Alligator mississippiensis: one gene and its partners. The protein of the gene in region 2 binds, or shares a complex with, the protein of the main gene of each other region. Links are inferred from orthologs where the notes say so. Each region holds a gene or a part of one and is shown on either strand. Other genes may lie near its edges.

Region 1 (7,559 bases), on a different chromosome or scaffold from region 2:
TTGTTAGTTAACACAGGGTGCAAAACACAAACAGCAACAAAGAAACAGACCAACCAGCTAACCCAACCCACGCAATTCACGTTCCTCCTTAGATCAGAAAAAATGCCTTTTCATCCAAGTGCCTTATGGCTATCTTGGTTCTTTGGGTAGATGCGATATCTTTTATTAGACCAACTCAAAAGTTGGGGGGGAAAAGTTCTTTGCAAGCTTTTGGGCACAAACACCCTATGTCAGGCCTAGGGAGACTCTGCTGGTGTTGTGTGTAGAAAAGAAGCAAATTTACAACAAGCAGGTCTGTGAAAATGCAAATGAGTGGAAATTAGGAAGACAATGGGTAGAGATGGTGGGGAGGAAGGGAGGGAAATGTGTGGAGGAATGCAAGTGGTCAGCTGGAGGTAGGTTATCTGGGGTGTCAGATGTCAGGCAGGTTGTTAATCCAATGTCTATATTTAGTCCATGATTTTTTGTATCCAGTGGATTTATGAAGGGAAGCTCATGGGATGGTCTACAAAAGGTGTGTTGCAAATTCCCTTATAGCTTCCTTCTCAATATTTGCCCCTAAAGGTAAAAGAGATTATTGCTGCTATTTGTCCCTTCTCAGCTAGTTGGAGAAATAGCTCGATTAGTTTGTAATCTGTTTTTAGGACTGTACGTATGCTTTAAGTGTGAAAAAGTGTGAGGAAGCCAAGCTGAAGAGATAATTTATATTTATTTCTGCTCTATGTGAGAAAATTGGACTTTGTTAAATTGGCAAAGCTAGAAATCTACCCAATTACACAAAAGCTGTATAAAGGTCGCCAACATCTTGGCTCTAAACTGTGAGGCCTGATAGCATTCTTGGCTCAGTATTAATTGCTCTCCAGATCCTTTTTTTAGTCAGTGTCCTGCCAGCAGAGGTAACTTAGGGCTGAATCCACCTGTCATTGAATCCTAGCTATATACTGGCCTTTTGCGGACCCAATCCAGAATATTTTTGTTATGCTAGGTCTTTGAAACTCAGGTGCCTTTCCATCTAATGCCTGGTCCTGTGGTACTGGCTGGCTTCTTAATTTTGTCTTCAAACTCACAGTCTCTTCTGGAGTGTAGATGCATTACTTCAAGTACAACTGATCCAAGAAGCACTGCCAGTAATACTCTATTTGTCACCTCAGAGATAAGGAGGCAGTTGCATCCTACAATAATGGGAACCAGAGGGAGTACCATCTATGTTTAAGTGGCCTAACATAACCCCTGCATTTCTTGCATCTTTCTTTGAGAAGTTCTAGCCTCTCCATTTTTCACATTGAGCCTCTGAAATTCAAGAAAGGGAATCCCTTTGGGTGTAGACCTGTTTTCTTTGTACCTCTAAACAGCATCCAGGTTCAGCTGAATCATAAACTGTTTTTAAAGAGTGCCATTTCCTTCTTTTGCTCATACTCAGCAAAATCATGACTACTTTGCCCCGTTCATGTTGTTCGTGTATCTTCTTCAAAACAAGAAAAAAAGAAAAAAAAAAAAACCCAAATACCTCAAAAGGGTTTTCTTTCGCCTGCAAAAAATATTAATATAAGCTTCTGACTACAATTTCAAGTTAACATGTATGAAAAACCATTTTTTGGGCAAGGGAACAGGTTTCACATTTCAAGCTTGCAGGGAATTATGGAGGAAAGAAGTCGTAGCGATACAATGCAAGATACCTTAAAATCCTTTGAGCAGTTCTGGCCCTTGACAGACGTGAATCTGTTGGGATCTACTTTGAACTATAAACCTTTCAAGAATGTCCCAATCTCCTGCTAGTACCTGCAGAAAGCAATGTGCAGAATTACCCTATTTACTGCTGCAGAAATGCTATCTGGCTGCTTCTGGGCTGTCAGCATGGGGATCATATTTCATTTTGAAAGTAAATAAAAAGCTCTGCCCAGGATTGCTGGAGTTTATATAAACCCGAATTGGAAACTAAAAGGAGAAGAATCCAGCGAAAGATGTTTCTAAAGCAAAAATCAATCTTGCTGGTAAATATAGCAAGACCCAAGGGAACTGGAGGTCAGTGAGGAGCCAGCGCTCAGTTAGAAGGTACATGGGTCTCCAGTGAAAGTTGGATACAACCACAGCCAAGGAGTTAGTCATTTCACAAAACGGTGTTGCCAAACTGTGCATTATCTTGATGGATAAAACAACTTTTTGCCATCTGCAGCATACCATATGCAATGATCCTGCTGGTGTAACTGTCAGATTGTGCTTTGAAAATGGAACAGAAAGAAAGGCAAACAGACAGTATTGGATTTCTGAAAAAAATCCTAATTTCTAAACGATATAACCTTGAACAGTTTACAATTTGCTAGCACTGAGTGACATAGCATGATGGTCCAGGAAATAGGGAAGAGGGAAGGATTTTTGCTGGTGACACCTTTGACTGACCTAGTTGCACAGGCAGAATAGACTTAACTAAGCTTTCAAATGCAATGCGTTCTTCTTTGCATCATAATTTGCTGCTGGTTAAATAATCCTAATATGACTTTTAAAACAGACAAAAAAGTCCAGCAGCTGAGGAGGAAGTTTTAACTTAGTATCATACTTGCATAAGCAATTCTCAGTTTTACTTTATTTTACCCTCATTAGCTCCTGGAAATGAACTTCAGCTCTTCATTACCTCCCATGCACTCAGCACCACAGCTATAATTCAGGGACATGGGGACCCAAACAGGAAGGGGGGAAATGATGAACGTAATAGGGACTCTGAAACCTTTAGGAACAGAGACAGAAACAATTGCTACAGGGATCTTTACATGCTGATGTCAAGCTGCCATCTGCATTTTTCTCTAGGCAGAGACTGAGCAACCAGGATTCTCCTCTGTCCCAATTAACAGTTTACTCCAGCACCCTCCTTCCTGTTCATTCCGCTTCCTCACCTCAGTCTAAGGCAAGAAACCACAGGGGTGGGATGGGGAGCATAAAAAAAGTAAGTCTACAAGAGTACTTTACCAATTCCCCGTCTCCAAAGAGATTAGAAAGTTTGTGCAAAGATGATCCAATCCAAAACTAGACACAACATTCATCCGGGAAGTTCCTGGTGAAATTGTGTGGCTACTGGCCATAGCCTGTTTGCACAGGACTGTACCTTGCACATGTAATCAAAACCAACAGCTAGATCTGAAATAAGAAAAGCTTTCAGAGCTGTCACTTGCAGCCCAAGCAACACTGAACAAGCAGATCAAACGTTATCTAGAGCAAACGGTGCGAATCCAGTGAAACAAGAATTTCTTGGTACCAACAAAGTTTCAGCCCCAAGCTCAGGTCACTCCAGGTACTCCCACGAAGGAGCTCTCTTTGCTTGCACAGAAGCCGGGGGTCTTCAACGAGGCTCTGTATGGACACAGTCACCCACGAGGATCTTACTGAAGCATTGTCCCCAGTTTGTATGTAGGTCTGGAGTCTTTCCAGTGGAAAGGGATTTGCAATTTGGCAAGATCTCAGTTCGTAGTGGATTAGCAATAAAACAGTTTTAAATGTGTACACTCAGCAAAGAGGTTTGAGTTAGAAAGCATCTCCAAAACATGCGTCGTTGTGACCGCTATTCTACGCCACCTCCACCAAAACCCTGTTTGGGGGGGGGGTCCTTATGGTCTCCGAGAGCTAGATATTCTCCACCCTGCACGAAACTAAGAGCTGTCAGTATTGCTCCCCTTGCTCTCTGGGGAGTTGCACACTAAGAAATGTCTCGCCCAGAACGTGGTACGCTATTTCACGAGTTCAGAACTGGACGCAAGGTACAATTAGGGATCGGACACAAACCGTACACCTACTCAGAGAAGATCCTCTGAAGACAGAAGAGGACCCGCAGTCGACAGAAGAGCGCGACTGCCAATCTCGAGGATCCTGGAGAACTTGGACAACCTTTTCTCCGACGCCTCGCGAAGGGTCAAACGTTATCTAGGGCGAATGGTTCGAATCTGGTGAAACAAGGATTTCTCGGTACCAACAAAGTTTCAGCCCCAAGCCCGACAGCTTGCAATCAAACCATTTTTTGGGGTGGGGGTTTTTTTTGGCGAAAATCTCGGCGGTCTCGTAAAAGCTCTCATCTCTACGCTGGGTGACCGCTTAAAAACGCCGCGCACGAACTTGCCCATCCGAAGCGCGAGAAACCACGCCGCAAGCCGAGGTCGACGCGGGAACTCCCCGAGTCCAGGGTCCCAAACTGGCGCGGTCCCCAATGCGGGACCGGCGAAGGGTGTCACTCGCCAAGAAGCATCCGCATGGCTCTTTTGGGGCCGGTCGGTGCAACACCAGGCAGCCGGCCCGGCCGTGTCCTCCCGCGGCTGCCACCTGCTCCCGATGCAAGGATGTGTCCGGGCACAAAGAGAGGCAGCCTGGGGGTAAAGGCGATGCAGCGGTGACACCGTCCGGGCGCTGGGGCAGACCTGCCCCCTACCCCTGGCCGCGGGCGCTGGGACGGAGCCCGCCGTGTCCCCGGCCCTGTCCCTGTCCCTGTCCCCGGCCCGGCTGTTCTAGGCGGCGCGGCCCCGCCCGCCGTGCGCTGTTCCCGCCCGCCGCCGCCCCCCCCCCGCCGCCGCGCTCCGGACCCAAGATGGCCGCCGTGTCAGTTTCGGGCTTCGCCGCCGTCCGGCCGCCGCCGCCCGCCGCCCGCCGCGCGCAGGCCCCGGTGAGTGGCGGCGGGGGGGGCCGCGGGCCGGGCGGCGGGCAGGCGGCGGGGCGGCGGGCGCCGCGGGGGAGGCCGGCCCGGCGCCGCGGGCTCGCGGCCTGCTCCGGCCCCGCCGCCCGCCGCCGCCGCCGCCGCTCTGCGCCAGGCCCGGCCCGCGGCCCCCGCCTCCCGCGCCCGCCTCCCGCCCAGGCCCGGCCGCGCCGCGCCGCGGGGCCGCGGCAGGTGCAGGGCCGGGGGGCGCCGCCCGCCGCCTGGTGCCGAGCCCGCGGCGAGGGGCGGCCGCGCTTTGTCTGCCGCGGGCGGCGAGGCCGGGCACTCGGGGGGCTTCCCGCCCGTGCGGCCGGCGTCCTGTCACCCTCCGCCTCCCGGCCCCAGCCCCGGCGAGGGGACGCCCGCAGGTTTCCGCACAACTTTCTCCGCGCCGCCTTGGCGGGCAGGTGTCGCGGCTGCTTTCGGGACACGAGGAGGGGTGGCCGCGGCGCGCACCCCCCTTTCGCCGCGCGCCCTTTCGTGCCTACACCAGGCACAATGGGGGCGCTTTGGGGTCCGCCGTAAAACCCCGGCCGCAGACAAAAGGCGCCAGGTAGTCTTTCCTCAGTGCGTCGTCCGTCCCGACTCTCTCTGCTTGGGACTCGCCTTGGCTGGGCGGGAACAGCACGGCCTTGTCACCTTCGGCACTCGGTTGTGTCCCTGCACGCAAACGCGGTGTTTTTCTGTTTTCGCGACTTGGCGGTCTCCCGGGGCGGCGAGGGTGGTCTCGGGGAAACTTTGTGAGGCGTCCGTCCGTCCGTAGGATGGCGGAAGTCAGATTTAGGCTTGTGACTTTTTTTGCTCAGAAATTACTCCGTCCCGTTTTCTTGCAGGCGTAACATTCCAGTTCTCTTTCCGATCGCGGTGCGGGAGTCCCGAAGCGAGGTAAGATGTGCTTTGACAGCTTTCCAGCTTTGCCAGGCTTGCCGCGGGAGCGGTGGTGGGATCTGTTGGGAAGCGTGGATCAGCTCCTAATGGGATGTGTTGTGTTTCTTTCAGTTTTAAGAAAATTTAATATTGGATCAAAGAGAAGCAGTTCATATCAGAAACGTGTATGCTATGGTTAGCTGGTTACTCTCCTCCGAGAATCTGTTTTCCCACGGTGTGAAAATTGTGCAGCATCGGGATAAGGGATAACGACTCTATGGATATACAGAAGTCTTCACCATGGTAAAACTCGCCAACCCGCTGTATACTGAGTGGATTTTGGAGGCGATTAAAAAGGTCAAGAAGCAAAAACAACGCCCTTCAGAGGAGAGGATATGCAATGCGGTGTCTTCATCCCATGGTTTGGACCGTAAAACTGTTTTGGAACAACTAGAATTAAGCGTTAAAGATGGGACTATTTTAAAAGTCTCCAACAAGGGTCTCAATTCCTACAAGGATCCCGATAATCCGGGGAGAATAGCACTTCCGAAGCCTCGAAACCATGGCAAGTTGGATGGTAAACCAAACGTGGACTGGAATAAACTGATCAAACGGGCAATCGAGGGCTTGGCGGAGTCCAGTGGCTCATCCTTGAAAAACATAGAGCGCTTTTTGAAAGGTCAGAAGGACGTGTCTGTGTTGTTTGGAGGTAGCGCTGCTTCCGCTTTTCACCAGCAATTGCGACTAGCTGTCAAGCGTGCTGTTGGCCATGGCAGACTCCTTAAAGATGGACCTCTCTACCAGCTCAACACTAAAGCAGTTGCTAATGCTGACGGGAAGGAAAGCTGCGAGTCTCTTTCCTGCCTGCCACCTGTGTCGCTTCTTCCCCATGAGAAGGATAAGGTAAGAGCCTCGGAGCTGACGAAATAGGGTGTAAAGGCTCCAATTTTGAGGTCAGTATTTCATTATGCATCAGATAAGTTGGAAATGGTCTGGGGCCTGTGGTGAATCTTTAAGTGGATGGAGGTTTCTTTTTCTTTCGCATGCTTCTGAAAGTGCTTGAAAATGATCTTGTCCCATTCACTTTCAGACTCAGTGCAGGGGAGTTCGTAGCCACTTTCAAAAAGCATTTCCATTTCCTTTTTTTTAATTTTATACATACGAGTCCTTAGTGCCTCTCGGATTACTTTGACACTTCAGGCAGAGCACTTGGCTGTGGCCTAGCCAGATCTGAGGCTTGGAAGACTGCAGGGTATATAGATATGTGTTCTAATACTCATTTTCTATCACTTTTTGCCATTACTGAAGATCCATGGAGGGTTATGACGGTAAGATGGTGTAGACCACAGCATTGCCCTTTGCAGGACAAAAGAATATAGGCCTGTGCTGAGCACCTTTCAGTGACACTACAGGTAAAAAGCCAGCAGCTTCTTCATACAGTTGCTTGGTTATCGCATCGAGCATTACTAGAGCCTGTAGCTTTTGTTACCAGACCAGTGTAATCAAACTTTTTTGTGACAAGACCTAATGCTGATAGAAATGGAACCGGTGGTGGTAGCAGTAGGAAAATACTATTAAATAAAATCTTGATGTCAACACAACCTGAGAGCAAGACTAGTCATTAGAAATAGCTTTACACTCATTCTACTGTATGCACCCATTCATTTAGTCTGATCATTACAAGGGGGTGTCCTTACGATGAGGTGGGATACCAAAAATCCTGTCCCTTTCTGTACTCCTCAAGTATGCTTCCGTGCAAAACAGCAATTTTAAAATTTTGGTCAAGATTTTAAAGTGCGTGTATGTGTGTGTGTGCATGTTTGTGCGCACACATCCCCATTCACCTCAAACATCAGATATTGTTGCATTTCCTGGTAGCTACTCAGATTTGGAAGGAACTCCACGAATATTCAAAACATATAAAGAGTATTAGAAACAGTGTGCTGTGTTGAGTCGTTTCTTCTGTGACTCTCGCCCTGTTCATAAAATGTAAGGTCATATAGCTGTTTACTGTCATGTTAAA
Region 2 (7,238 bases):
AGAGCTGGGGCTGAAATCAGGGACTCCTTCCTGCCACTCCCTGGCTCAGGCCACTAGTTTACCTGCTTCCAAGGGCCTCTCCCTCTTGGCCCCAGCCCTGAGGAACCCCAACAGGCCTCCTCAGGCCCACTGAAGGCACCTAACAGCTTCTTCCCACTGCCTTGGAGACTGGCAGGAAAGTGATGTCAGCCTGTCACCCCGGCCAACCAGCAGCCCGTCCCTCCCGCTGCTCTAACACACGTGGCTATTCCACGGGACAAAGCCTGTTTGACAACCAACCCCCGCGGCTCGGAGGGCCTGCCATGGGCTGCTGGCACCACTAACCTGTGTCGGTTTTTGTTCTTCCGTTTTTTGTGGCTGCTGTGGTGACTCCCCGAGGAAGTGGAGGAAGCAGCTTTCTGGGGCTTCACGCCCTGCACAGACCCATCCAGATCGTCGGCATCCTCCTGGCTGGGCTCGTTCTCCTGATTGTGGAAGTCTGGAGAAGTGTCGCTCTCTGTCCCACTGCCCGGCTCCCCTAAAACGCAACAAACCCAGGAGAGCACAGCTGTTAATTCCCAGCTGTTCAGCTCCAAGACAGACCTCGAGTGCCCAAGCCAGGTCCCAAGGAACAGGAGCAAACCCCATCAGCACAGGGCACAGGGCAGCCTCAGGGGGCCGTGGACGTTCTCTAGTGCGCAGCACACTGCTGGAGCAGGACAAGTTACCCCCTGCAAGAGGCATGCTGCAGGCAACCCCGGGCAAACTCCGGAAGCAGGAACAACCCCAGAATGCATTTACTGCATGCCGCATCCTATAGCAGGGGCAGCAAAATGCCCTAAGCACTGGAGAAAGAAAACTATTAGAATTAGACCAGGCAGGAAGTCAGCGCTACGGCTGGAACGCTGCCCTCCCCCAGCCCCTCTGATCAGCCAGGAACGCACCTGAAGCGAATGAATGCGAAAAAAGAATAAAAATAACTCAACCTTTAGGTCACACAGGCGGGGGCAGACCAGGCAAACACAGGAGGGAAGGTGTGAAGTCCCACGAACCTCACACCGGCTCCAAGCACACGGCTCCAGTGGCAACTACGCAAAGCCTGACCCTGGACTCTTACCTCCCCCCATCACCAAAGCCACGCACGTCTCGTGCACAGAAAGCTTTAAGATGGACACAAAACTAACCTCCCTTTTTTTGGAAGGGAATCGCGCTGTAATTTCACTGCAAGCATTACTTATGGCGACAGAATTGGGAGCAGTGGAACTACTGGGGTACGGAGACCCCCCCGACGCGCACACACACGTGCAACAGGGCTAGAGGCAGGGAAGCGACCGCAAGCGTCGGAAGCAGCAAGCACCGCAGGGAGGAGCCCTCTTTCCAAAGCAAACGGTTTCCTTCTTTCCACCTCAGTCACGCAGAGACGGGTAACAGGCAGCTACTTACGCTTCTCAATGAGCTGGTCTTGAACTCCGGCCAACGCGCTGACGGCCTACAAAACCAGAGGGGACACTTATGGAGACGGATTCCCATTGATCACGTTTTACTGAAACACGCGCAAGGCACTTTCCAGATGGAGAGAGAGAGAGATGATCTCTGCCTCCAGGAACTGCCAGCTGAACGGCAATACAGCAGGGCCAGAGAGGGACTCGCACAGGAGGAGAGCGGGAAGGACAGGCGTGCAAGGCACGAACGTTTCCTGCTTGTCCTGCTCCCTCCCCCTTCACTTCTCCTGGGCGCCGTGGCAGGTGTGAGCGTGCGAGGGAGACTGCATGAAAGGAAACTCGGAGACGCTTGTGAGAGGGGGACAGGGATGGACACCGCTGTGCTGCCCTCGCCGCACACAGCAGGAGGGCACGGCACGGACTGCGGCAGGACTTGCCAGCTATCGAGCTAGAAGTGCCGTAAGGGCAGGGGGAGGAACGGTCACCCCAGGTCTGCCCTCGGTCAGTCCCGGGGAAAGCCGAGCAAGCAGGCGGCTAAGGGAACAACCGGGGAAACTGAGAAGAGCAGTTCAGAGCCACCTGGAAGCAAGGAGAAGAGCGAGACGTGACAGAGGGGACCGTGCGCAGCCCGGCTGCAGCTGCCGCGCGGCGTTCGGGGGGCAAGCTCGGGGCTGAGGCTGGCGTGGCGCGGCGCGGCGCACCGCCCCGTCACGCTGTGTGCACGCGGTACTCACGGCTGCCGAGGTGACCGAAGACTTGCTGAAGAGTCGCTCGGCTTCCTTGAACTTCCGGTTGCGTCGGTCGTTCTTGCTGTTGGAGTTCCTGAAAGACAGCGCGCGCGCTCACTGCGCCGCCCCCCACCCCGCCCCGCCTCGCCCCGCCTCGAGGGGCGTCCCCGGCACCGCGCCCGCTCGCCATCCTAAGGGCTGCGCTTGCTGCGCGCAAGGAAGAGCACGCCGAGACCCCGGCGCCAGGAGTGCCTTTCGCACCTTCCTAGCGCTGCCGGGTCCGGAGGGAGCGCGGCGCTCGGCGCTGGGCCGTCCCAGCAGCCGGCCCGACCGGCCCCGACCGCGCACTCACTTCTGGTTGGTGAGGTAGCGGTCCCAGCCGCGGATGATGTTCCCGTACATCTGGGTGTCCTCCAAGTAGCTGCCCTCGAAGGCGTAGATCTGCCGCTCCAGGTTGGCCAGCGTCTCCTGCGCGGGAAAGGGCACAACCAGAGCGGGCGCTACAGCCGCCGGCGCCTGCACGCGGGGCCGGGGGAGCGGCCACCCCGGCGGTCCCGAGCCCCCGCGGGCAGCCGGGGCCGGGGCCGGGGCATGGGCCCACCCACCCCGCGCTGAGCCTCCTCCTGGCCCCGCCCCACGCCCCCATCCCCCACCCCCACGCCCACGCCCCCGCGTCGGGCCAGGCCGGGCCGGGCCGGGCCGGGCCGGGCGCGCACCGCCAGCTCCTGCTTGCGCTTGACGAGCTCGGCCAGCTCGCGCCGCGTGTCCGGGATCTGCGGGGGGCCGCCCGCCTTCGGCTGCAGCGCCGCCATCATGGATCCGCCGCGCCGCGCCGCCCCCTCCGCCCGGACACGCCCCCTCGCCCGCCCTATTTATCCCGCAGCGCCCCGGCGGCAGCCGCCTGCGCGCGCACCACGCCTGCGTGTGCGCGCGCACCGCTGAGCTGGACACACTCACACACACACTCACACTCTCTCCCCCCTAGTGTGCCGCACTAGGCTCACGTCTACAAACGCTACCTTTAACTAAAAAAACCCCAAGCAAACCAAAAGCCCCAAACCACACGCACACATCCTCGTGGGCGCTAGGGTTTGCCAGCTGTCGCTAGCGCCCTGACGCCGCGTCTGTAAGCACACGCGTGTGCGCGGGGCCAGGCCCACGGGTTTGGGTACAAGTCGTGTTTCTGGTGTGGTCGGGGGGGAGAAGGGCGCAGCAGCGTCCCTGGGGGTGCCCGGGTCAGCCCTCGCAGGACGCACGGCCGCTGCCTGGGGCGGCGAGGGCAGCCGGCCGGTGGGTCGCCCACAGCGGTGGTCCAGCGCCGTGGCCGCGCCGTCTCTGACCTGCGGTCCAGAGGCTGGGTGTGTACAGGGCGGCTGCGACGCGGCTGGTGCTGCCTCGGGCCGGACGCGACCTCTGGAGCTCCCTGGCAGCCCCGCGGCTCCCGGCTTCGCGCTCGGGCTAGAAGGGGCCGTGCAGCTGTAGGAAGAGCCAACCCGCTCTGAAGGCGGCGCGAGGAAACGTGCAGCAGCTGCAGGGATGGTTTCTATCCGGTTTTAATCCGAACACGCAGCAGTTGCGGTGCGATTACCAGTGTGGACAGAGCTAAGTGCGCGGCGCTGGTCCCAAGCAAGAACACCTGGGGGCGGGGGCGGGGGCGATGGGACTGCATCCCCTGCAGCAAAATCACCCCTGCTCCGCAGGAGAAGGATGAGAGGCGACCTTGTGGCTGCCTGTAAGTTCATCACGGGGGCACAGAAGGGAATTGGTGAGGTTTTATTCACCAAGGCGCCCCCGGGGGTTACAAGAAACAATGGCCACAAGCTAGCAGAGAGCAGATTTAGACTGGACATTAGGAAGAACTTCTTCACAGTTCGAGTGGCCAAGGTGTGGAACGGGCTCCCAAGGGAGGTGGTGCTCTCCCCTACCCTGGGGGTCTTCAAGAGGAGGTTAGATGAGCATCTAGCTGGGGTCATTTAGACCCAGCACTCTTTCCTGCCTATGCAGGGGGTCGGACTCGATGATCTATTGAGGTCCCTTCCGACCCTAACATCTATGAATCTATGAAGCACGGGCCAGGTCTTGGACTCGGGCTTGTTAAAGGCCCCTGGTTGCTGACCATGGAGCAGCAGTACTGAAGTCCGCATCCCGCAGCAGAGATGGTTTCCTGCACTCACTCGCTCTCAACTTTTTGGACTTGAGGCACCCTGGGAAGATGCCAGCTCTTCCTTTTCACTCTTTTTGGCCTGCAGAAAAATAAGAGAGCTGTTTTTTTTCTGGTGCAAAGATGTCAGAAAGCACAGCTGTGGCTTTGCTTGAGCTCTCTGGGTTGCGTGGCCCCCCTGGACGGATCTCAAGGTACTTCACACTCACTGAGCATCACCGCGCCAGCTGGTCCCGTTACCTCACCTGCAGGTTTCCCATCTGTCTGCTCTCTAGCCTGCTCCTGCCTTGCTCTTCCCAGCTGTTCTCTGAAGCCCAGGGGCCACCTCAACTCCCACCTCTCTCAACTCACTCGGACACCATCCACCGCCCCAGGTGGAAGGGCGTGGAAAGATTTCACCTATTAAAACATATGTTCAGTGGTGCTCCTCATCTCCGCCAAGGTACAAAGAGACAGGTTAGACGAGTATCTAGCTGGGGTCATCCAGACCCAGCACTCTTTCCTGCTTATGCAGGGGGTCGGACTCAATGATCTATTGAGGTCCCTTCCAACCCTAACATCTATGAATCTATGAATAGGTGTGAGCTTGTTTGTTCAGTACCTAGCACAGTAGAGCCCTAATCCAGACTAGGGTCTCTGCAGCGTGAATAATAACACCCTTGTATTTGCCTTGTTGTTGATACCATTCAATCATAACCATTTAAAACTAAATTATAGAATTTTAATTTAAAATTAGTTCTATACATGTCACTTGATACAAACAACATACATTGGGAGCATACTGTATGCCAGATAATGTGCCATTCATAGCAAGATGTACACACAACCATTCAAGGAGGATACAACTGGCGCGCATTTCCGCATACTGTAGCAAAACAAAAGCTTTTCTGTAGGCAAAATTTGATTTCAAATGGAAAAAACATTACAAAATATACATGCTTGTGCTGCTTAGGGTTAGAGTTGGCAACCAAACAGAACTACCTTAGAGATCATTTTAAAAAGTACGCGTTGTTAGTCCATTTGACATAAAACAAAGAGGTGATGTTTGAAGCAATGCTTTAAATCGCCAATGGCAAATGCTTGAAATGGAGCATCAGACTGTATTGGCAGTTACCGAGTTGGCACGTGCCCTGACAGGGACAAGTCTAGCTCATACAAAAACAAGAGCAGGGAGATGGAAAGAATTACCGCAGCAGGACAATGCGAAGGCCCAGTCTTGCAAACACCTAAGCACACCAGCTGCATAACACTATGCAAAGTGAGGACTGTAGGTATGTGCTCAAGTATACGTAGAATGACAGCTTACGTGTTCGGGACCCAACATCGGGAGCCCGTGAGATTTTATACTGAAAAATAAGGCAAGAAAAGCACTTGATTCTATTTGGGACGTTGCATTACAGCTAAAAATAGGGCTTTGGTTTTTATCACCACTCTCAACATTGGTGTACTGCAGGCCCTGAACTCCACCAGAACCAGCCACTTCGATCTAGTCTTAAATATCCCAGTGCAGGACAGCAATACCAGAATGGTAGTTTTGTGCTATTGTACACAGTGGTCGTCAAGTCAGAAAAGGATTGTTCACAAAATAACATGGTACATCGTCTAGTGAAATTCCTAAATCTAGTACTGTACACTTACATTGTTTCCAGCCCCAGGACTGGACACTGATTCAGCATGAAGCCAGTCAATACAGGGTCACAGTTGAGCAACTTATTTAGGACGTGTACAACAAAAAAGGAAACAAAGTCAAAAGAAGTATGAAAAGTCCTTTTTGGATTAGACAGCAGTCTCCTTCCCCTTTATAACACAGCCATGAATCTGTAAGCTCTGTGCCACTTTTGGGAATGAGTAATGTATTCAAACAGGTTACGTTCATTAACAAGACAGCAGTGCTGAGCTACATTAAGTTTTACGCGTTCTGGTTTTTTCCTAATGAGACAGAAATCTTCAGCCAATCTTTAAAAATTTAAGATCAATTTAAATATGCTGATGATACCTGCTGGAGGAAAAGGTTTAGAGGAAACGGCTCATTTTTCACGGTGCCATGGGTCAGCCATTTCGACCGTCCTCGGTGGGCATGCCTACATTCCAGAACACATCAAGCAGCACAACCAGAAATCAGACATGGGATGTGCGGTTCGCTGGGTGTAGCCACCACACTAGGGCAGAAGCCACATATTGGTCTCCCCCTCTCCGCTTTGCTGCATTTTCACATGTGTCCAGGTAGGTTCCGACATGACAAAGCTGATGTCTTTGGTGACCATAGTACCCAGAAGGCAAACACATGACAAAAGAACCAACAGGCAATACAGTGCTCACAGGATACAGACACCAGAACCTGGCAATTTTGGGGGTTGCCAAAGGGCAAGAGTGAGAGGTCCTACCCAGCCTTATGAGAAGTGTGCCCGGTGCTGGTCTGGGCTAGGGTAATGAGGTACAAACACCCCTTTTTCCAAGTGTACACACACACACACACACACACACACACACACACACACACACAGAGGATATGGCGCTGCAAGACGTGAAGTCACAGGAATGCCATTTGTCAAGACAGATCTCATCTCATCACCCTGGTAGTTCAGTTTCCATGAAGAGACAGTACTACAGCAACAACACATTCTTTTGATTAGCAAGGGACGCAAGTGTTCCTGCTCAACCACACATCTCTCTCCCGCTCTTCCTTGCTAATGTAACAGTGACAGACAATGTATATGCTTTATATTAGCTTTTCCCCTCTCCATCTTTGTATTCAAAGGATTTCCTTTAAAATATATATTATATCGATTTAAGGGAATATAAAGAAAAACCAGCATGGACACTAGAAAAATGTTACAGCTAAAAGCAGGTAGGGCAAAATTTACAAAAGTTCTTTATTTAAAAACCCCAGAGCGTATAAAGGTGATCCCACTATTCAAAACACATTCT
Region 3 (6,961 bases), on a different chromosome or scaffold from region 2:
GCACCAACTTCCTGCCTCTTCCAGGCCAGCTACCTCCATGACACCACAGCACAGCGCAGAGCAGAGGCGTAGGCCCGAGCTCTTACCCAAGAACAAAGCCAGCAGGGGCTTGCTAAGGTAGGTGTGGGGGAGGAGGGGAGAGGCAGTGCTGGGGACAGTGAGGCCGCCTGTAAGCGAGGGCCACACCTGAGCTGCAAGCAGCAAGGCAGAGGGTGGAGAGGGAGGTACCTGGCCGTACCTGTGCGGGGGGATGCAGGGCACGGAAACCACCGGTGCTGCTGCTCGCTTCTCGGCCAGGATCTTCCTTGCCTTCTTCATTTTGATCCTGGACTTGGCCTTTGCCTTCTTCACCTTCTCCGAACTCCAGCCTTTGCCCTCTTCTTCCTCTTCCTCGTCTTCCTCCTCCCCTTCACTGTGAGAGAGGGCAGGGAGCCGGCGCATGGAGCCCGGGGGCGTATGAATGTCGCAGTAGGCTGTCTTGCGCACACTGAAGGAGGTGCCATTTGCTCCCGTCTCGCGGACAGGCTCCATCTTCATGTAGAGTCCAGCCTGCTGGGCACAGGTCACGTGGAAGGCAGTGTAGCAGTTGGCCTTGTGACACTGGATGCAGGCCCCAGAGCCACGCTGCTTACAGATGTAGCAGGTCAGCTTCCAGCGGGCTGGGGGGATGTGCTCGATGCTGTCGATGGGCTCTAGAAACACCGTGTTGGCAAAGCACACCTCTGGGATCCAGAGGGCACAGACCACGTGTGCCCAGCGCCCATCGTCCGTCTGTTTGAAAGCTCCACCCTTGTTGGGGCAGAGGGCACAGTCCACAGCCCGGGAGGGTGACTGCAGGCACCTCCTGCACAGCCACTGGCCCTCGGGGATGTAGGGCACGCCATAGCACTCCTGGTGAACGGCCAGGTTGCACATGTCGCAGAAGAGGATGACGTTGCTGTTCTGACACTCCCCGTCGTTGCAGATACAGCAGACCGCGTCCTCGTCAACCAGCGCGTTGGGGTCCCCCTTGTTGTGGCTCTCAAAGTAGGACTCTTTCTCCAGCCGGTCCATCAGGTACTCAAAGATCTCCTGGGGGATGGGGCTCACACCCTCCGTCTTCCGCCGCTCATTCATGATGTCCAGCCAGATGTAATCCTCCTCATCCATGTCGTACTCCACCTCCTCATCCAGCTCCTCAGCTGACTTCTCAATGTACCTCAAAGAGAAGGGGAGAGGGAATGAGCACCCAGCATGGGTGCAGGCCCACGCAGCCAACCTCAGGGAGGGAGGGGAGAGGTTAGACCAGGCGAGTTTTATCGTGGCAGCCACAAAGCAGCTGTGACCCAGGAAGAGCAGGGATGGAGAAGGGACCCGGGAAGCAGGGTGCGCTGCAGCTCGCACCCATTCTCCAGCACCCACCAGAGTGGCGACACAATTCAGCACCGCCGCCTGAGCTGGACTACCCAGCGCTCCCCGAGCTGCGAGGGAGGGAGCACGGGGCACTCGCTGATGCAAGACAACCGTGGGGAACCTGCGCGAGCCCCGAGGTTGCTGCTCTGGGGCCACCGCTCAGTTTCACGGCACGGCAGTGCCAGGTTCTCGTGTCCCGGTGCTTGTGCAGCAGGTGTCCCTGGCACTCGGGAGGACAAAGGAGGTGCTCCCACGTACGGCCAGGCAGAGGCAGCTGCCTCTGCTCCTCCCCTGCCAGTTGTGGGTGGAGAGCATTACTTGTGTTTTTATTTTATTTATTTATTTACTTATTCACAAAGTCTGAGGTCGTGGTGCCTTGCCCAGCGGCAGCAGCCGCAGCAGCAGCCGCCTGCCACCGCAGCAACTGCCAGCACGCGCAGACACGTGGCTGGGGAGGCGTCTGCTACAGCCAGCAGCGCCGGAGCAGCGCCCACATCGTGCTCTGCAGCGGAGACGGCAGGGCCCAGGGAGCTGTGCAAGCGCTCCCGCCAGCTCGCAGCGCTGACCTCCACGCGGTGCCGAGACAGCTCACCCGCTCGGCCACGGCCAGTCATCTCTGCACTGCCCCGTCATAGCCGGAGAAGAAGAGCTTGCACGGAGCAGAGACCTGCAGCGCGCGGGGCGGGGCGGGGCGGGGCGGGGGGGAACGCAGCCACCAGGCTGCAGGGCAGGGCAGGGCAGGGCGTGAGCGCGGCGGGGGTGCACAGGCCCCGCGCGGAGCGTACCTGTAGTAGGAGGTGGGGCGCGGCGGGGCGTCGGGGGTGTCCTGCTCCAGCTCCCGGTACACGGCCTCGGGCAGCTTGGGCGTGGCGCCGGCCGCGGCGCTGTGGTGGTGGTGGTTGGAGTCCTTGCGCTTCTCCTTGTTCTTGTGCTTGGCGGCCTTGGGCGCGGCGGCCGGCGCCTCCGCGTTCTCCTTGTTGCTGCCGCTCTCGGGCGCCTCCTCGGGCGCCTCCTCGTCCTCCGACACCACGTCCAGGTTGTCGAAGATGCTGATGCGGTGCACGCGGCCGTGCAGGTCCACCTCCACCATGCGCTGCGCCTGCGCGTAGGTCATCACCTCGCGGCCCGGCGACTGCGAGGTCTCGGAGGGGCTGGGCGACTGCTTGTTGGCGGCGCGCGCCTGGCGCCCCTTCTTCTTGTGCTTGCGCAGCGGGGCGTGCTGGGGCGGCGGCGGGTTGTCGTGGTCGTAGTGGTACAGGTGGTACTCGATCCCGCTGTAGCTCTTGTAGATCTTGCGGCAGGTGCCCACCGGGCACTCGTAGGGCGGCTTGGTGGCGCGCAGGTTGTGGCAGAAGGTCTTCACGTCGAAGTCCACGCCCATGGCGGCGGCTCCGCGGGCCCCCGGCCCGGCGCCCGGCCCCGGCCCCGCGGCCCTGCCCGGCCAAGGCCCCCGGCCGCGCGCTGGGCAGGCGGGCGGCCCCCACTGCGGGCGGGGCGGGGCGCGGCGCGGCGCGGCGCGCACTCACGGGCTGGCGGCGCTGCGCGGCGGGCCCGGGGCGCCCATGGGCGGCGGGGCCGGGCCGGGCCGGAACAATGGAGGCGGCGGCGGCGGCGCCTGGCGCGGGGCGGCCGCTGGGTAAAGCGCCGCGCGGCCCCTAGCAACCGCACTTTCGCCGCGGGCGGCGGGCGGCGGGCGGGCGGCGGCGAGGGCGGCGGCGGCGCGGGGGGCCGCGCCCCGGAGGCCGCGGGGGGGCCGGCGCGGGGGGGCCGGGCCGGGCCGGGCCGGGCCGCGCCGCGCGAGGCGAATCTGCGGTGGCGAATCGCAAGCGCCTCCTGCGCGGCCCAGGAGCGCGAGAGGGCGCCCCCGCCCGGGGCCGCCGCGGCTCCGCCAATCAGCGGCCGGGGACCGGGATAGCACGCTGCTCCGCTGCTGCGTGGCCAATCAGCGCCAGGGGGCGGGGCTGGCACGCCGCTCCGCTGCGGCGCGGCCAATCAGCGCCCGGGGGCGTGGTCGAAGCTGCGGGCGCAGCCAATGCGCGCGGGCCCATGTGTGTGGGGGGGGGTGTCCCGCGGCGCGGTGCCCCGCCCCCCAAGCAGGCGGCGGTGGCGGCGGCGGCAGTGGAGCGGTTTATTGCGCGGTACAGCGGTGCATCGGGGGCGGTACAGCGGGGGCGGGGCTAGCGCGCGGCGGGGCCCGCGGGCCGCGGCTCCAGGTCGTGCGCACGCATGTAGCTGAGCAGCTGCTCGGGCACCTCGGCCAGCACGTCCCGGGCCAGGCGCGCCATGCTCAGCACCTGGCTCCCGGCGCGGTCCACGTAGTCCCGGAACGGCACGAACTGCAAGAGAGGCGGTCAGCGCGCCCCCGCCCGCCCGCCCGGCCCGCCCGCCCGCCCGCCCGGTACCTGCACGATGTCCCGCTCCGCCGAGCGGCCCCGCGACGACACGCGCACGTCGTCCCCGTCCAGCTCCTCCATGGCTGCGGGGACAGCGGGTCAGCGCGCCCGGGCGCCCCCGGCCCGCCCGCCCGCCCGGCCCCGGCCCCGGCCCCGGCCCGACTCACCCTCGAACTCGGCCGGGCCCACTCCCACGATGATGATGGACATGGGCAGGGCGGACGCCTGCGGGCAGAGGCGGCGTCACGGGGCGCCCAGAGAGGCGCCCCCGGCCGGGCAGCGTGCCCCAGCCCCGGCCCCCGCCCCGGCCCGGCCCCGGGCAGACTCACGCTGACGATGGCCTCCTTGGTCTGCAGCATGTCGGAGATGACGCCGTCCGTGATGATGAGCAGCACGTGGTACTGCGACCCGTCCGTCACCTGCGCCGCCGACCTGCGCGGGCAGAGAGAGCGCAGTGCCGGGCAGCCCTGCCCCGCGCCCCGTGCCCCCGCCCCACAACCCCCGCCGCGCTCACCGTGCCACCTGGTTGATGACGGGGGCGAAGTTGGTGGGCCCGTAGAGCTGCACGGTGCGCAGGCTCTGGAAGTACGCCTCCAGCACGCCCTCGATGCCTGTGCAGTTCGGGTCCTCGAGGTTGTTGTTCTGCCAGGGCAGAGGGCAGGGAGCTGCGTGTGCGTGTGCACGTGCACACCTCGCAGGTGCGTGCAGGGGGCTCCGTGCACGTGGGCGCACGGGTGCAGTGGCAGCCCCCAGGGACGGGCCGCAGGTGGGCGTCTGGACCGGCGCCAGGCGCAGGCTGTCCCCAGTGCCCGTGTCCAGAAGCGCCTCCTCCCCCTGGGATTCGCCGCGGAGCCGGAGGCAGGACGCAGGTGACGGGCCCGGCCCCTCCCTGCCCAGCAGGGCCCCCGGCTCCCGCCGCAAGCCCCCCACCATCACACCTCCTACCAGGGGGAACTGGTGGGAGATCCTGCCATCCGGAGGGACCTTGGCACCAAAGCCGTAAGCAGGGAAGAGCTTGTCGCTGTCGTAGTCCTGGATGATCTCCCCGACGGCCTTCAGCGCCATGGCGTAGGCGCTCAGCTGGTACGGGCTCATGTAGTGCAGGGACGTGGGTTGCGACGGGATCCCTGCCAGCACCGCGTGGCCCCTCAGCCCGGGCAGTCTGCCCCCACCCCACCCCACCCACGGCCCCCAAGCCCGGGCTCCCCACCCCGGTTAGGGGCAGCCCCAGGGCCCGTGTCGGGGCTGCGCCCTGCCCTGCACCAGGGCATCCCCGGCCAGGTGTGCGGGGGCCACGTCCCGGCTGCCTGGGAACCCACGGACGGACGAGGACAGACGTGGAGAGCCCGTCCCCACAGCAGCCAGGCTGCCACGCCGCACTGCACTCACCGTTGGAGGCCGTGAAATCGATGGCAACTGTGAAATTCAGCTGTGTCCTGTGGGGGGGGAGAGTCTAGCCCCGGCCCCCCACAGGCATCTGGACCACCAGCCCCCTCCTTCCCCTACATCTCCTGCCGCTCTCGGCCGGGCCCCATCCAGCCCTGCGGCCCCTGGCTGTGGGGAGTCGTGCTCGGCCCCCGGGCCTGCGGGCGCTCGACCAAGAGCTCGCTCGGAGCACGGGGGCAGCAGGAAGCCGGGCTGCCTCGGAGCCACAGCCACTCACCCGCCACGGATGTAATCCACAAAGGTGAACTCGGACTCCACGGAGAAGGAGAGCAGGGTCACCTGCGGGGGAAGGGGTCAGGACTGCAAACACCCGGCGGCCCCCGCCCAGGTGACCTACAGGCTCCCCAGAGAGCCCTGTCCTCCCTGGAGCACCAGGCACGCGGGCAGGCCCCGGACCCGAGGCGGGGAGCTGGATTTGGGGGGGGCACAGCCTGGCTAAGCAGAGCGGGGGGCACTCACAGTTCCCGAGTTGACGTATTTCTTCTTCTTGCATTTCTTCCTGGGGTTCAGCACCTGGTTTAGAGGGGTGGTCAGGCACCAGCCCCCCCAGCTCCATGCACCCCCAGGCCTGCCCCAAAGCCACCCCCAGCCCTTCCTGCCTCCCTGCCCCATGCCCACGGCCTCACCTCATAGACCGTGAACTGGCTCTGGGCGCGGGAGAGCTCCCGGTAGCTGGTGGCAAACTCCCCAATGAAGTCGTGGCTGGGGGCAAAGCGGTTGTGCAAGGGGAGTGACCCACAGCCCCTGGGCCAGGCCAGACCCAGCCCTGCACGCAGCTCCTCTCCACCCCCACGTGAGATGAGCCCGGGTGTCTCGGCTCGACGCCCAGCCCCATGCTCCCCGGGAGATGGAAGCGGAGGCTGCCCTGCCCAGGCTCAGCGGGCAGGGCTGTGGTGCTGGAGCCGGGACATGCTGCCAAGGGCAGCTCCCAACAGGAGGCCCAAGGGCCACGGGTGGGCAAGAGCAGGCCTGTGGGCACAGCAGGGCTCGTGCAGCTGCTTGCAGCCTGCCAGACAGCAGGGCCCTGGGGACGCCTCACCTGCCATCTCGGTCCCAGTCGTACACGTCGATCTTCACTGTCCTGGAACAGAGGAGCCAGCCACGGTGAGCGGGCATCGGCCCCCAGCACAATGCTGTCCATCCTCTCAGCCCCGGGCACCACGCACCCATCCCGCCTGGGCAGGGCTGCGTCTGCACAACTGCGGGTGCTCGCTGGGCCTGGCGCGAGCCGCAGGGAGCACGTGCTGCTGGGGCGCGGGGGTGGGAGGTGCAGGCCCTGACCAACCTGTCGTAGTCCCCGTTGCACAGGGCTCGCACAGGGATGGTGAACGGCTGCCACACAGGATTGAGCGTGTTCTTCACCACCTCCGTCTTGTGGCAGATGGTGAACCTGTAGGAGCAGCAGAGGGGTGGGCTGAGAGCGGCTGCGCGGGGAGCCCCCTGGTCCAGCCCGGCTTGGTCCCCACGTACGTGCCATCCTCGTTGCTGCGGTAGAAGACAAGGAAGGGGTCCGACTTCCCGAAGAAATCCTTCTTGTCCAGCTTGTTGGCGCACAGCTGCATGGTGACCACGTCCTGTGGGCAGAGGCCAGTCAGTGCCAGGGCAGTCCGTGCTCACGCCCCCCCCGCCCACCTTGGCCCTGTCACACCTGGGCTTCCCCAGGCCCTGCCCTCTAGGCCTGGCCCCTCCAGCTGGGCCAAGGTGGGGGCTGTGCAGGGCAGCATGGGGCT

Evidence for each region. The genes of interacting proteins can lie anywhere in the genome.
Region 1: MEAF6 (region 2) and KAT6A share a complex: the UniProt entries of both Homo sapiens proteins name them as parts of the MOZ/MORF complex. The link is inferred for Alligator mississippiensis from reciprocal best matches to the Homo sapiens genes MEAF6 and KAT6A.
Region 3: MEAF6 (region 2) and BRPF1 share a complex: the UniProt entries of both Homo sapiens proteins name them as parts of the MOZ/MORF complex. The link is inferred for Alligator mississippiensis from reciprocal best matches to the Homo sapiens genes MEAF6 and BRPF1.

What each region holds. Positions count from the first base shown.
Region 1 is NC_081830.1:17,273,581-17,281,139, forward strand, and holds the start of KAT6A (histone acetyltransferase KAT6A), read left to right. Parts: upstream 1-4,542; 5' UTR 4,543-4,639; intron 4,640-5,202; exon of another isoform or gene 5,203-5,222; intron 5,223-5,502; 5' UTR 5,503-5,554; intron 5,555-5,668; 5' UTR 5,669-5,836; coding exon 5,837-6,439; intron 6,440-7,559. UniProt on the Homo sapiens protein: Histone acetyltransferase that acetylates lysine residues in histone H3 and histone H4 (in vitro). Component of the MOZ/MORF complex which has a histone H3 acetyltransferase activity. May act as a transcriptional coactivator for RUNX1 and RUNX2.
Region 2 is NC_081829.1:903,559-910,796, forward strand, and holds the start of MEAF6 (chromatin modification-related protein MEAF6), read right to left. Parts: upstream 3,004-7,238; 5' UTR 2,965-3,003; coding exon 2,866-2,964; intron 2,618-2,865; coding exon 2,502-2,617; intron 2,244-2,501; coding exon 2,156-2,243; intron 1,469-2,155; coding exon 1,423-1,468; intron 518-1,422; coding exon 325-517; intron 1-324.
Region 3 is NC_081835.1:444,848-451,808, reverse strand, and holds the start of BRPF1 (peregrin), read right to left. Parts: upstream 3,018-6,961; 5' UTR 2,774-3,017; coding exon 2,178-2,773; intron 1,199-2,177; coding exon 239-1,198; intron 1-238. Other genes in the region: CPNE9 (copine-9), read right to left, coding at 3,570-3,728, 3,795-3,868, 3,953-4,010, 4,115-4,217, 4,300-4,427, 4,731-4,912, 5,175-5,221, 5,449-5,510 and 5 more. UniProt on the Homo sapiens protein: Scaffold subunit of various histone acetyltransferase (HAT) complexes, such as the MOZ/MORF and HBO1 complexes, which have a histone H3 acetyltransferase activity.